Arabidopsis thaliana: one gene and its partners. The protein of the gene in region 2 interacts with the protein of the main gene of each other region in a pairwise test. Each region holds a gene or a part of one and is shown on either strand. Other genes may lie near its edges. The genes, in order: WRKY43, AT1G48195 and CRF8.

Region 1 (3,313 bases), on a different chromosome or scaffold from region 2:
TCATGGTAAACTAGCACCTGCATTTCCAAGAAAACAATTAACAGGTATGAGAAATGCAAATTTGTCTCTTGGCTACACACAAAACCGGAAAGAACGAAACTTTTCAAATAAAACCTGTCCACTGCAGAAAGGTCCAGCCCCAATGCCAATGGTTGGTATCTTGAGGGCAGAAGTTGCAGCAGCAGCTACAGGAGGTGGAACGCATTCCAAAACAACCGAAAAACATCCAGCTTCTTGTAAAGCCATTGCAGTCTCAACAACTTTAACAGCACTAGCTATGTTTCTGCCTTGGGGTCTGAAACCACCAAGAACGCTAATCGCCTGAGGGGTTAGACCCACATGACCAATAACCGCAATTCCTGCTTCAACTATAGCTTTTGCAGCAGTGATCCTAGAAGCTGATCCTCCTTCGAGCTTAATCGCATCCATTCCTCCTTCCTTCAAAACCCTAACCGCAGTATCAACCGCCTGAAGCCAACATTTAAACCCAAAATCAGGTCCCTAATTTGTTTCATTGACACAAAATCTTGTAAAGAATCTACTTTGCATAAGCAAGTACTAAAGCTAAATCTGTGATTACACAGGCAATGACACATTGACACATAATGTATCATTTAAGACTTTTTTTATCAAGAATCCAATCACCTAAACATTTGATCAGGAAATGAATTGAACATTGTAAGTCCCACTGAGTGTTGTGATTAATTCAGGTATTGAAATTGCAATCAAGAATCTAATTACCTACACAAAAATTAAGCAGAAGAACATGCCTTATCAACAAATATGTTTAATTTAGGTATCTAGAAGAAAAAAAGATTCAATTTTATAACATTACCTGACTAGAGCTTGACTCGTAGGTACCAAATGGCAAGTCACCAACTAGGAGAGGTCGTTTAGCGCCTCGAGCAACGGCACGACAATGAACAAGCATCTCGTCTAAGGAGATAGGAAGTGTTGTGTCGTGACCATGAACAACCATGGAAGCTGAGTCACCGACAAGACAAACATCGATACCAGCTGTGTCTAAATGAACGGCGGATGGGTAATCGTAGGCAGTTACGACGGTGATCGGTTCTCCTCTCCGGTGTTTTTGTCTGAGATGCGTTAGCGTCACTCTTTGGTTTGGGTTTTGTGGCTTTGGTCCTCCGTAGACGGTGTTTTCCGGTAGGTTACTCATGAAACGGACAGAGATGGCTTTTGAGAAGCGAGAGCAATTCCTAGTGAGTGAGGACGCCATTGTTGTGAAGATGAAGAAACCCTCTTATCTGTGACTGTGTCTGTGTTTACAAGAACAAGGAATTTTACTTTTAAGAAGATTCAATTCCTAGTGAGTGAGGACGCTGTTTAGATTCTGGCAAGTGGCGATTCAGTTCTGGGTTTCACACACAAATCAAGCATAGCAATGACACTGTTAGGAATTGTGATAGCTTAACTATAAATTCAATATTTTAACGAAATCAACAAGATCCGTTGTAGTCTAGCTGGTCAGGATACTCGGCTCTCACCCGAGAGACCCGGGTTCGAGTCCCGGCAACGGAGATAGTTTTAAAATATCTTTACTATATTAAACCGGATTTTGGTTCAGTCTGGTTATGTTAACCCAGTCTCTGTTTCTCTCTAGGCTCTAGCCTAACCCAGTCTCTGTTTCGATCTTATTGAACTTCTGTTCCAAAGGCGATTCCTTTTTTATTTTTCCGTTTCTGGGTTTAGATAGAGAAATGTAGAGATTGAGATCGCGGTTACTAGTTGGAACTCTCTTGGAGTTGGAGAGCATCCGAGGGTTCTGCACGAGCTCCTTTAAGATCGTAGCTTCGGTTCTTTTTTATGAGATTGCGCATTGTGATACCAAAACCGGATTCTACTGTTTACAGTTTCCAGGAGTTCAAGTAAAGACCAAACCATGTCTCTGTTTTTTAAGTCACACACGTGTGAGATGACGTGAAGGAATTTTTTGTTGTTGTTGGTCTGAAGTAGTTGAATGTAGTTGGCTTCTAAACCTTTTTATATATCTCTTCAATATAAATCACACGAAGAATTCTAACACACAATTCGTTGATTCATCATATCTCCTCTTCATTAATGAATGGCCTCGTCGACTCTTCTCGAGATAAGAAGATGAAAAATCCGCGATTTTCGTTTCGCACAAAGAGTGATGCAGATATTCTCGATGATGGTTATCGATGGAGAAAGTACGGTCAGAAATCCGTCAAGAACAGCTTGTATCCCAGGTAAACTTTTTAACATAAATAATCTGAAATTGTTTTTAAAAAGATTGTTTTTTTGTGTGTTTCTTCTCACTTATGATCATCAAAAGGAGCTATTATAGATGCACACAACACATGTGTAACGTGAAGAAGCAAGTTCAGAGGCTGTCGAAGGAGACGAGCATTGTGGAGACAACTTATGAAGGAATCCATAACCATCCTTGTGAGGAGCTCATGCAAACCCTAACTCCTCTTCTTCATCAATTGCAGTTCCTCTCTAAGTTCACCTAATTATGTTTGTATATATATTAACGTTCTAAGAGCATCTCCAATGGAAGTATCTCAATGAGATACCTAACAAAAGAAAAAAAATTAAAAAAAAAATATGAGAGAAGGGAGAAAAAGTAGGAGAGAAGGAGAGTTAAATTTCTCGGATGATTGGACAGGTGTAATCACACTATTAGTTCAACTATTAAATAATAATTAATGTATCTGTTTTGATTAAAATATTAATTAATATGTTTTTGAGAAACTTTCTTTATTTTTACTGGTGGAGATGGTCTAATGTTCCATGGTTCATATAACGGAGCAAATTAAAGCATTGTAATCATATATGTTTGCATGTTCATAGTTGCAATCTCGTTTTGATTATAAATCAGTTTTAAGCATATAACCAAAATAAAAAAACAAATCAATTGTAATATTCCGGTAAAACGATTACCACGTGATGATTATAGAGAGGCATAGAGCAATATCGTCTGGTAAACTGAATAAAACCGGATTTGGTTTCCATAGATTTTTCTCAAGCCAAATCAGTTTCCTTTCGTTTGAATAAACCTATTGGCTTATCGTGAGTGATTATTGTTTTGTTTATTTACACGATGAACAATGTCAATGAGACATGTCACATGTACGAAGTCAGTTCCGATATATTACATGAATTGCTTTCAAGTTTTGATCAGCATCCTTAAATAGTCACCGAAAATAAGAAGCGAACAAGTCTTGGCGAAGTTGAAGCCACAAAGTGTACTAATAAATATGGATTGCCGAATTAAAAGAAGAAACAAAAAAACTACATTTTCATATTTTTTTTCTTCTTCCATATATAA
Region 2 (2,990 bases):
TTGATACATCAATTTACATCTGTGCAAGTACAAACTAGGCTAGATTGGTGGGGTTGATAAAGAAAACCTGACGCACGTATTGAATTCAAAGAGAAATGGGGTTAGAATCGATATGATTTAGAGTGTAACATGAAGGGAAATAGATATGAACATGATTAGAAGCCGCCTTTCGGAGATTAGCTGTGTGTTCACTAACTGGTTTTATGTTCTTTCTTCCAGGTGACACAGCCAAGGAAGATTCTAAAGTGTCCACTCCCAAGATCATGATATGAGAGGTTGTTAAATTTTTGGTAGGTTCATTTCACTTCAAATTATTCACTCGGCTAAAGTAAAGATTAGCATTTAGTCTCATCATTTGCATAAATTGCACTTGTAAACTAGTTTGGCATCTATTGTCTGTTGTTGTGATCTTTTTTTTTTGTACCTCCTGGTATGGACAAAGCTCCTAAAATAAGGTAAGACCCTCCTTTGGGTTGATTCTTAAGGCTTTCACTATGTACCATTAGTCCAAAATTTGGAGACGACAAAGCCTTGTTTGTTGGGTAAACTTGAAAAGAAAAATCCAATTTTGTTACATGAAATGAAAATTTGATACCATGGTGATTAACTTGATCCTTAGATTAATAACATCCTTTCATACATATAAAGAGTAAATAAAACATAGATATTAGAATATTATTGAAAATAAACACGAGATAAGGAATATCAGTTTCAAATTTATCATTTGCAAGTTGAGGATGATGGTTAGGTAAAATGGTCGAATTTACAAGTCGGACCGGATCTGCAAATGCCGAAGCGACTGTAATGCGGGCAAATGGCTTGACCAGGTCTTAATGGTAAGCCCTTGTCATTGAGAGTACATTGAGGCTCGCTCGGCGTTATATTCTTCGGGTGATGGTATTTGCAGTTTTGTTTCAGATAACAGTTTCCAGTTCTAAGATAATAGCTGCACTCTGGTTCGCCTGGACGTTCTGGGAATTTTTCTTCAGACATATTTTCTCTTCTCCTAGTATTATATTGTTTGCATGTACTTGTATATCTCTTCTACCTATAATCTATATATATTACCAGAAGAAAATCTAGCATTGAATACTAAAATGACATGTTTTGAAGAAAGATAGTATCATCTTTAATATTTATTGTTTTAGTTATAATTGTATTTAAACAAAATTATAATATCATGATGCTATATTTATATTTTTTCATTTAATTATTACTTAATTAATATTTAGTGGATTTTATTTTGCTAATATTTTAGATAAATACATTTTAATCATATAAATCTTCTTAACATAAACTACATGTGACATAAGTCGTTTTCTTAAAATTAGATTATTATTATTTTGACAGCAAAAACTCCACCTTTTTTTTTGAATATTTAAAAAAACTCCACCTTTATTAAGCATGTTCCTAAAATTAAAATATAAAAGTAATGAATACAAAAGTTAAATATGAAAATCACTAATAATGTAATCGGAGGCCGGATCGATCTGGTGACCCAATCACAAAACTTGTGAACCATTATTCGATCAATCAATGTACCGTGTGAGCCAAGGCTCTTTATTTCTAACCTAAGAATTTTCAGATTTAGGTTTTGAGGCCTATTAAGATTAAATGAACGGTATTTTGGTAAATGATAACTATATCTAAATTGATCGATCCCTAGACAACTCTCTCAAGAAGAAGTAGAAGAAATCAAAAGTTTGATCAAACCCTATGATAGAAAATGACGACGACAACGCAACTGGCACTTCCCTATGATTTGCTATTGGGCTGCATTGCACACGTCTTCTAGATTGTACTATCCTAATCTTTCCTTAGTCTCCAAGAGCTTTCGATCTCTCGTAACTTCACCGGAGCTTTACAAGACCCGCTCTCTCCTAGGCCACGCCGAGAGCTGTCTCTATTTGTGCTTACGGTTCCCTCCTGACACTAATCTAACCCTCGTTGGTACACTCTCTGCCAAATACCTAACCGAATGAAGAAGAATAATTCAAGTGGCAAAATTTACGTCCCAATCCTAATCCAACCATCTCCCACTTCTCCTCCTCCACAATCGCATTCCTCGAATCATATGGTTACCGTTGTAAGATGTACAAAATTGGCGGGGATGTGCCTTCTTCTTCTAGAGTCTCTGTCTTGGATTGGAAGTCTCACACATAGAACCAAACTTTAAGCATGCGGGTGGACCGGAGCTCCTCTTCCTCCACTGTAAGTCTACTTGAGGGGAAGATATATGTAGCAGGAGGTTGTGAAGATCGCAATTCTGTGGACTGGGTTTAAGGGTTTGATCCAAAGACTCACACTTGGAGCTCTGTGACTAGCCCTAGCGCGGTGATACGGAATGAAAGTGTAGCTGAACACAAAAGCTTGGGACTTGGTGGAAAATTCTACCTCTTTGGTTATGACTCAGATAAGTCTGCGGTGGTTTACAATCCCAAAGAAGGTAGATGGAACCCGGTAGGATTATATATTAATATAAGTAATGAAGTGTACTATAGTTGTTTTGTTGTGTGATAGACAACGTCTTGTTCTATAGGTTTCACGGACTCTTCCATTGGTATGACTATAAGGGAAACTTTTGGAAGCAAGTGAATGGTCTTGGGCCAGGTAAAGATGAAGACCAATACTAAAGCGACGTCATCTAAGGCACAACGGTCATCTTCAAAAAAGTTGGAAGAAAACGACGAAACAAAAACATAGCAAGGAGGTGATGAAAGTTGCTTGTACGGAGAAAGTAGCGATTCTCGCAGCCCTCGATACGTTTGACAACGCAAGATGATGACATCTGTCCTCTCTCTAGGGTTTTTTCGATTAACCCATTCTCTTGTCTATAAATACTACAATGTTCTACCGATTCCTTTTAGCTTCCTTTGCGTTACTACTCTGCTTCCTCTGCTTGTGAGTTTCCCTTTGTAAGTGCGATTAGTGTTACATTTTAGGTTTTTTTCTCTAAGTTAGGATTTTGTTTTGCTTTGTTACGGTTTTTG
Region 3 (3,382 bases), 9.0 Mb from region 2:
AGATTTGTTCAAAAAAGAAAAATCTTCTTGTTTATCATGTGAAGTTTGTGAACCAATCAAAATTTATCTTCAGATCCTTTTTTTTTTCAATTTCATAATCGTAAGTCAAAAGAAAATATCTGTTTGCTTTTTTTCTAACGCACTTGTGTTTCCTCAAACTTATTATTTTTAAACTCATGTGCACGTACATGTAAACATTCATTTCCTCTCTTTTTCTTTTTTTTCTTGTCAAAACATTCATTTCCTCTTTAGTCACTACTATTATCGAAAACATTCATTTCCTCTTTAGTCATTACTATTATAGTATTATAGAAGATCATATATATCATGTGTATGATGAAGTCTCTTGGTTTAGCTGATCTCTTCATGTTCTTTATTACTTTCTTTATCTCCAAACCCCTCACCCATGGCCATCAGTCTTCAACAAGTCAAAGTAAATTGATAAATTCAGTATTTTTCATTAGACACCCCAAAGTATAAAAATGTATCGTTGATACGGTGATACAAGAACCAAAAGATGGAAAGATATATAAAGAATTTTCAACTTTTCATCAACCATCAAAATATAACTCTGATCCAAGTCATTAACGTTCAATTTGGTTAGAGTTCTGTTCTATTATGTGTTGATCCATAAATGGTAAAAAGATTGAATAGTATACAAATAAAAAGAGCCTATTTCAACCCAAACTTTTCTTTCCTAAACGTTTTAAAAATTCAAAAAAATTTGTACCTTAAAATTTGTGTGTAAATCAAAATATAGTTCATTTCTCGAGTTTCATATATATACATAGACGAAAGACATCAAGATCATACACAACATCAGAAGATGAATTTACAAAATACGAGAGAGACCTTCTTGCTAATGCTAACAACTAAATTACCAACCCCACTTCACGCGCCTCTAGCAACCTCAGAAGCTCCAATCACCGTCTTATCCTCTTGATTCTCCGCCGGCAAACCAAAATTGGTCGGCGCGTGAGGTCCAATCAGCTTAATTGAAGCGTTATCATAAGCTAGAGCAGCTTCCTCAGCAGTGTTAAAAGTACCCAGCCAGAGACGATCACGTCGTCCTTTACAAGCTCCTCTTCCACATCTGATCTCCGCCACCCACTTCCCCCACGGCCTCTGCCTCACTCCACGATATTTCTTCTCCGTTTTCGCCGTCTTGAGAAATTCCGCCGGGATCCTGATTTTGAACCGTGTTTTGCAGACATCGAGTTTATCGGCGGAATCGGAAGGATCGATTACGATCTCTTTAACGAGGCGTTTCCCACGGCGCCGAGTCTGGGATGCTCCTCCACGCTCCTCCGTGTCTTCGTCGCTAGAAGAATCGGTGGCTTCTGCGTCGGTGAATGAGATTCTGATAATACGCTTCATAGTGAATTTGCGGAAATTAGGGTTCCGTCTTCGTCTCCATTAAAAGGAAAGCATTTGAGAGAAAGAATATGTTTTTATTCTTTCAGAATCTCTTTTTCTGATGCTTTTCATCTTTACTTATTTACTTCTCTATTTTTTTCTAACCAATCCTATGTGGGCCGTATGGGCCTCAGAGCTGAAAATGCAGTAAAATCCATGAAATTTCTCAACATGGCTTGAAGCCCATCTTCTAAAGGAAAAAACGCTTTACTCTTTTTTCCTTCATCTATGTAATAAGAAGCAGAAATTTAGGAATAAGTTTGAAACTTTAATCACACATAAGAGTAAGTGCAAAAACATGAACAATGTTCTTGCCTTCCGTGTCAATTTTGTATATATATATATATATATATATATATATATATATGTGTGTCAGTATATAATCTCCTTTTATATGATTATAAACTCATTTGTCCCATGTCTTCTTCTTCTTCAATGGACTTACTCATGTGTCTGCTTCTTCTAATCTCTCCGGTTGTTCTGGCCAAGTCTTCTTCCACCGTCCCTGCTATCTTTACCTTCGGTGACTCTATTTTTGACGCCGGAAACAACCATTACAACAAAAACTGTACCGCTCAGGCTGATTTTCCTCCTTATGGTTCTTCCTTTTTCCACCGTCCTACTGGGAGGTTCACCAACGGAAGAACCGTCGCTGACTTCATCTGTAACAAATTACCTCCCAACTCGTTAACTAAAACATTTCTTCTTCTGCAAGGAACCTTACTTTTGTCTCTTTTTTCTTTTCTTGACGCAATAATTGCAGCGGAATTTGTAGGCCTTCCATTACAGAAACCATTCTTGGAATTGCAGATTCAAATCTTGAATGGAACTTCAAACTTTTCAAATGGCATTAACTTTGCTAGTGCTGGTAGTGGTCTCTTGCTTGATACCAACAAATTTATGGTAAATATCTACCTTGACCAAATAAAATGTTTGTTTCTTGTGAATCACTCATTAAGTACACATATCAAATGTAGGGCGTGACACCGATCCAAACCCAGCTACAGCAATTCCAGACACTTGTAGAGCAAAACCTTATCGAAAAATCTATAATCCAAGAGTCTCTCTTCTTATTAGAAACTGGTTCTAACGACATCTTCAACTACTTCCTCCCATTCCGAGCTCCTACACTTTCTCCAGACGCTTATGTGAACGCAATGTTAGACCAAGTGAACAAAACGATTGATCAGATCTACAAACTAGGCGCACGCCGCATCGCTTTCTTCTCCTTAGGTCCTGTAGGTTGTGTCCCTGCAAGAGCCATGCTTCCTAATGCCCCAACCAATAAATGCTTTGGTAAGATGAATGTTATGGCCAAGATGTATAATAAAAGACTTGAAGATATAGTGAACATAATCCCCACTAAGTACCCTGGAGCCATTGCGGTGTTTGGAGCTGTATATGGTATCACTCACAGATTTCAAACCTACCCTGCCCGTTACGGTAAACTCAATATAGTTAATTAACTTCCATCTTTGAGATCTTTTTCAAATGTGTCTATGAGAAAGCTGAATCATGTTTTTGGTGAAGGGTTTTCGGATGTTTCAAACGCGTGTTGTGGGAACGGTACACTGGGAGGATTGATGCAGTGTGGAAGAGAAGGATACAAGATTTGCAATAACCCAAATGAGTTTCTGTTTTGGGATTTTTATCATCCCACAGAACACACTTACCGTCTCATGTCAAAAGCTTTATGGAATGGAAACAAAAACCATATCAGACCATTTAATCTCATGGCTCTTGCCACCAACAAGATCACATTTTAATACTTATATCTCCCTTGTATATAGAATTCATAATGAGTTTGTATCTGAATTAAGACTCGAAATCATTGTGAAAACAAAAGCCAGAAAGTGAAACTTCGCTCCACTTCTGGTCTCTTCTTCCTCTTCTACTGTAACATGAACGCTACAAAATGTTTTTATTGTTCTCTTTCATATCATTATGAAATACAATATCTGATTCT

What was found.
Region 1: the proteins of AT1G48195 (region 2) and WRKY43 interact in a two-hybrid assay, tested with the Arabidopsis thaliana proteins (one large-scale study listed by BioGRID).
Region 3: the proteins of AT1G48195 (region 2) and CRF8 interact in a two-hybrid assay, tested with the Arabidopsis thaliana proteins (one large-scale study listed by BioGRID).

The regions. Positions count from the first base shown.
Region 1 is NC_003071.7:18,955,175-18,958,487, forward strand, and holds WRKY43 (WRKY DNA-binding protein 43), read left to right. Parts: upstream 1-2,037; 5' UTR 2,038-2,079; coding exon 2,080-2,228; intron 2,229-2,314; coding exon 2,315-2,495; 3' UTR 2,496-2,751; downstream 2,752-3,313. Other genes in the region: KPHMT1 (ketopantoate hydroxymethyltransferase 1), read right to left, coding at 1-17, 115-468, 836-1,237. UniProt on the Arabidopsis thaliana protein: Transcription factor. Interacts specifically with the W box (5'-(T)TGAC[CT]-3'), a frequently occurring elicitor-responsive cis-acting element.
Region 2 is NC_003070.9:17,794,352-17,797,341, reverse strand, and holds AT1G48195 (Zinc finger C-x8-C-x5-C-x3-H type family protein), read right to left. Parts: upstream 1,008-2,990; 5' UTR 994-1,007; coding exon 745-993; 3' UTR 558-744; downstream 1-557. Other genes in the region: AT1G48200 (uncharacterized protein), read left to right, coding at 220-272; AT1G48190 (Galactose oxidase/kelch repeat superfamily protein), read left to right, coding at 2,179-2,248, 2,285-2,446, 2,521-2,610, 2,721-2,782.
Region 3 is NC_003070.9:26,820,872-26,824,253, reverse strand, and holds CRF8 (Integrase-type DNA-binding superfamily protein), read right to left. Parts: upstream 1,738-3,382; 5' UTR 1,378-1,737; coding exon 892-1,377; 3' UTR 583-891; downstream 1-582. Other genes in the region: GLIP6 (GDSL-motif lipase/hydrolase 6), read left to right, coding at 1,834-2,080, 2,180-2,319, 2,394-2,859, 2,947-3,182.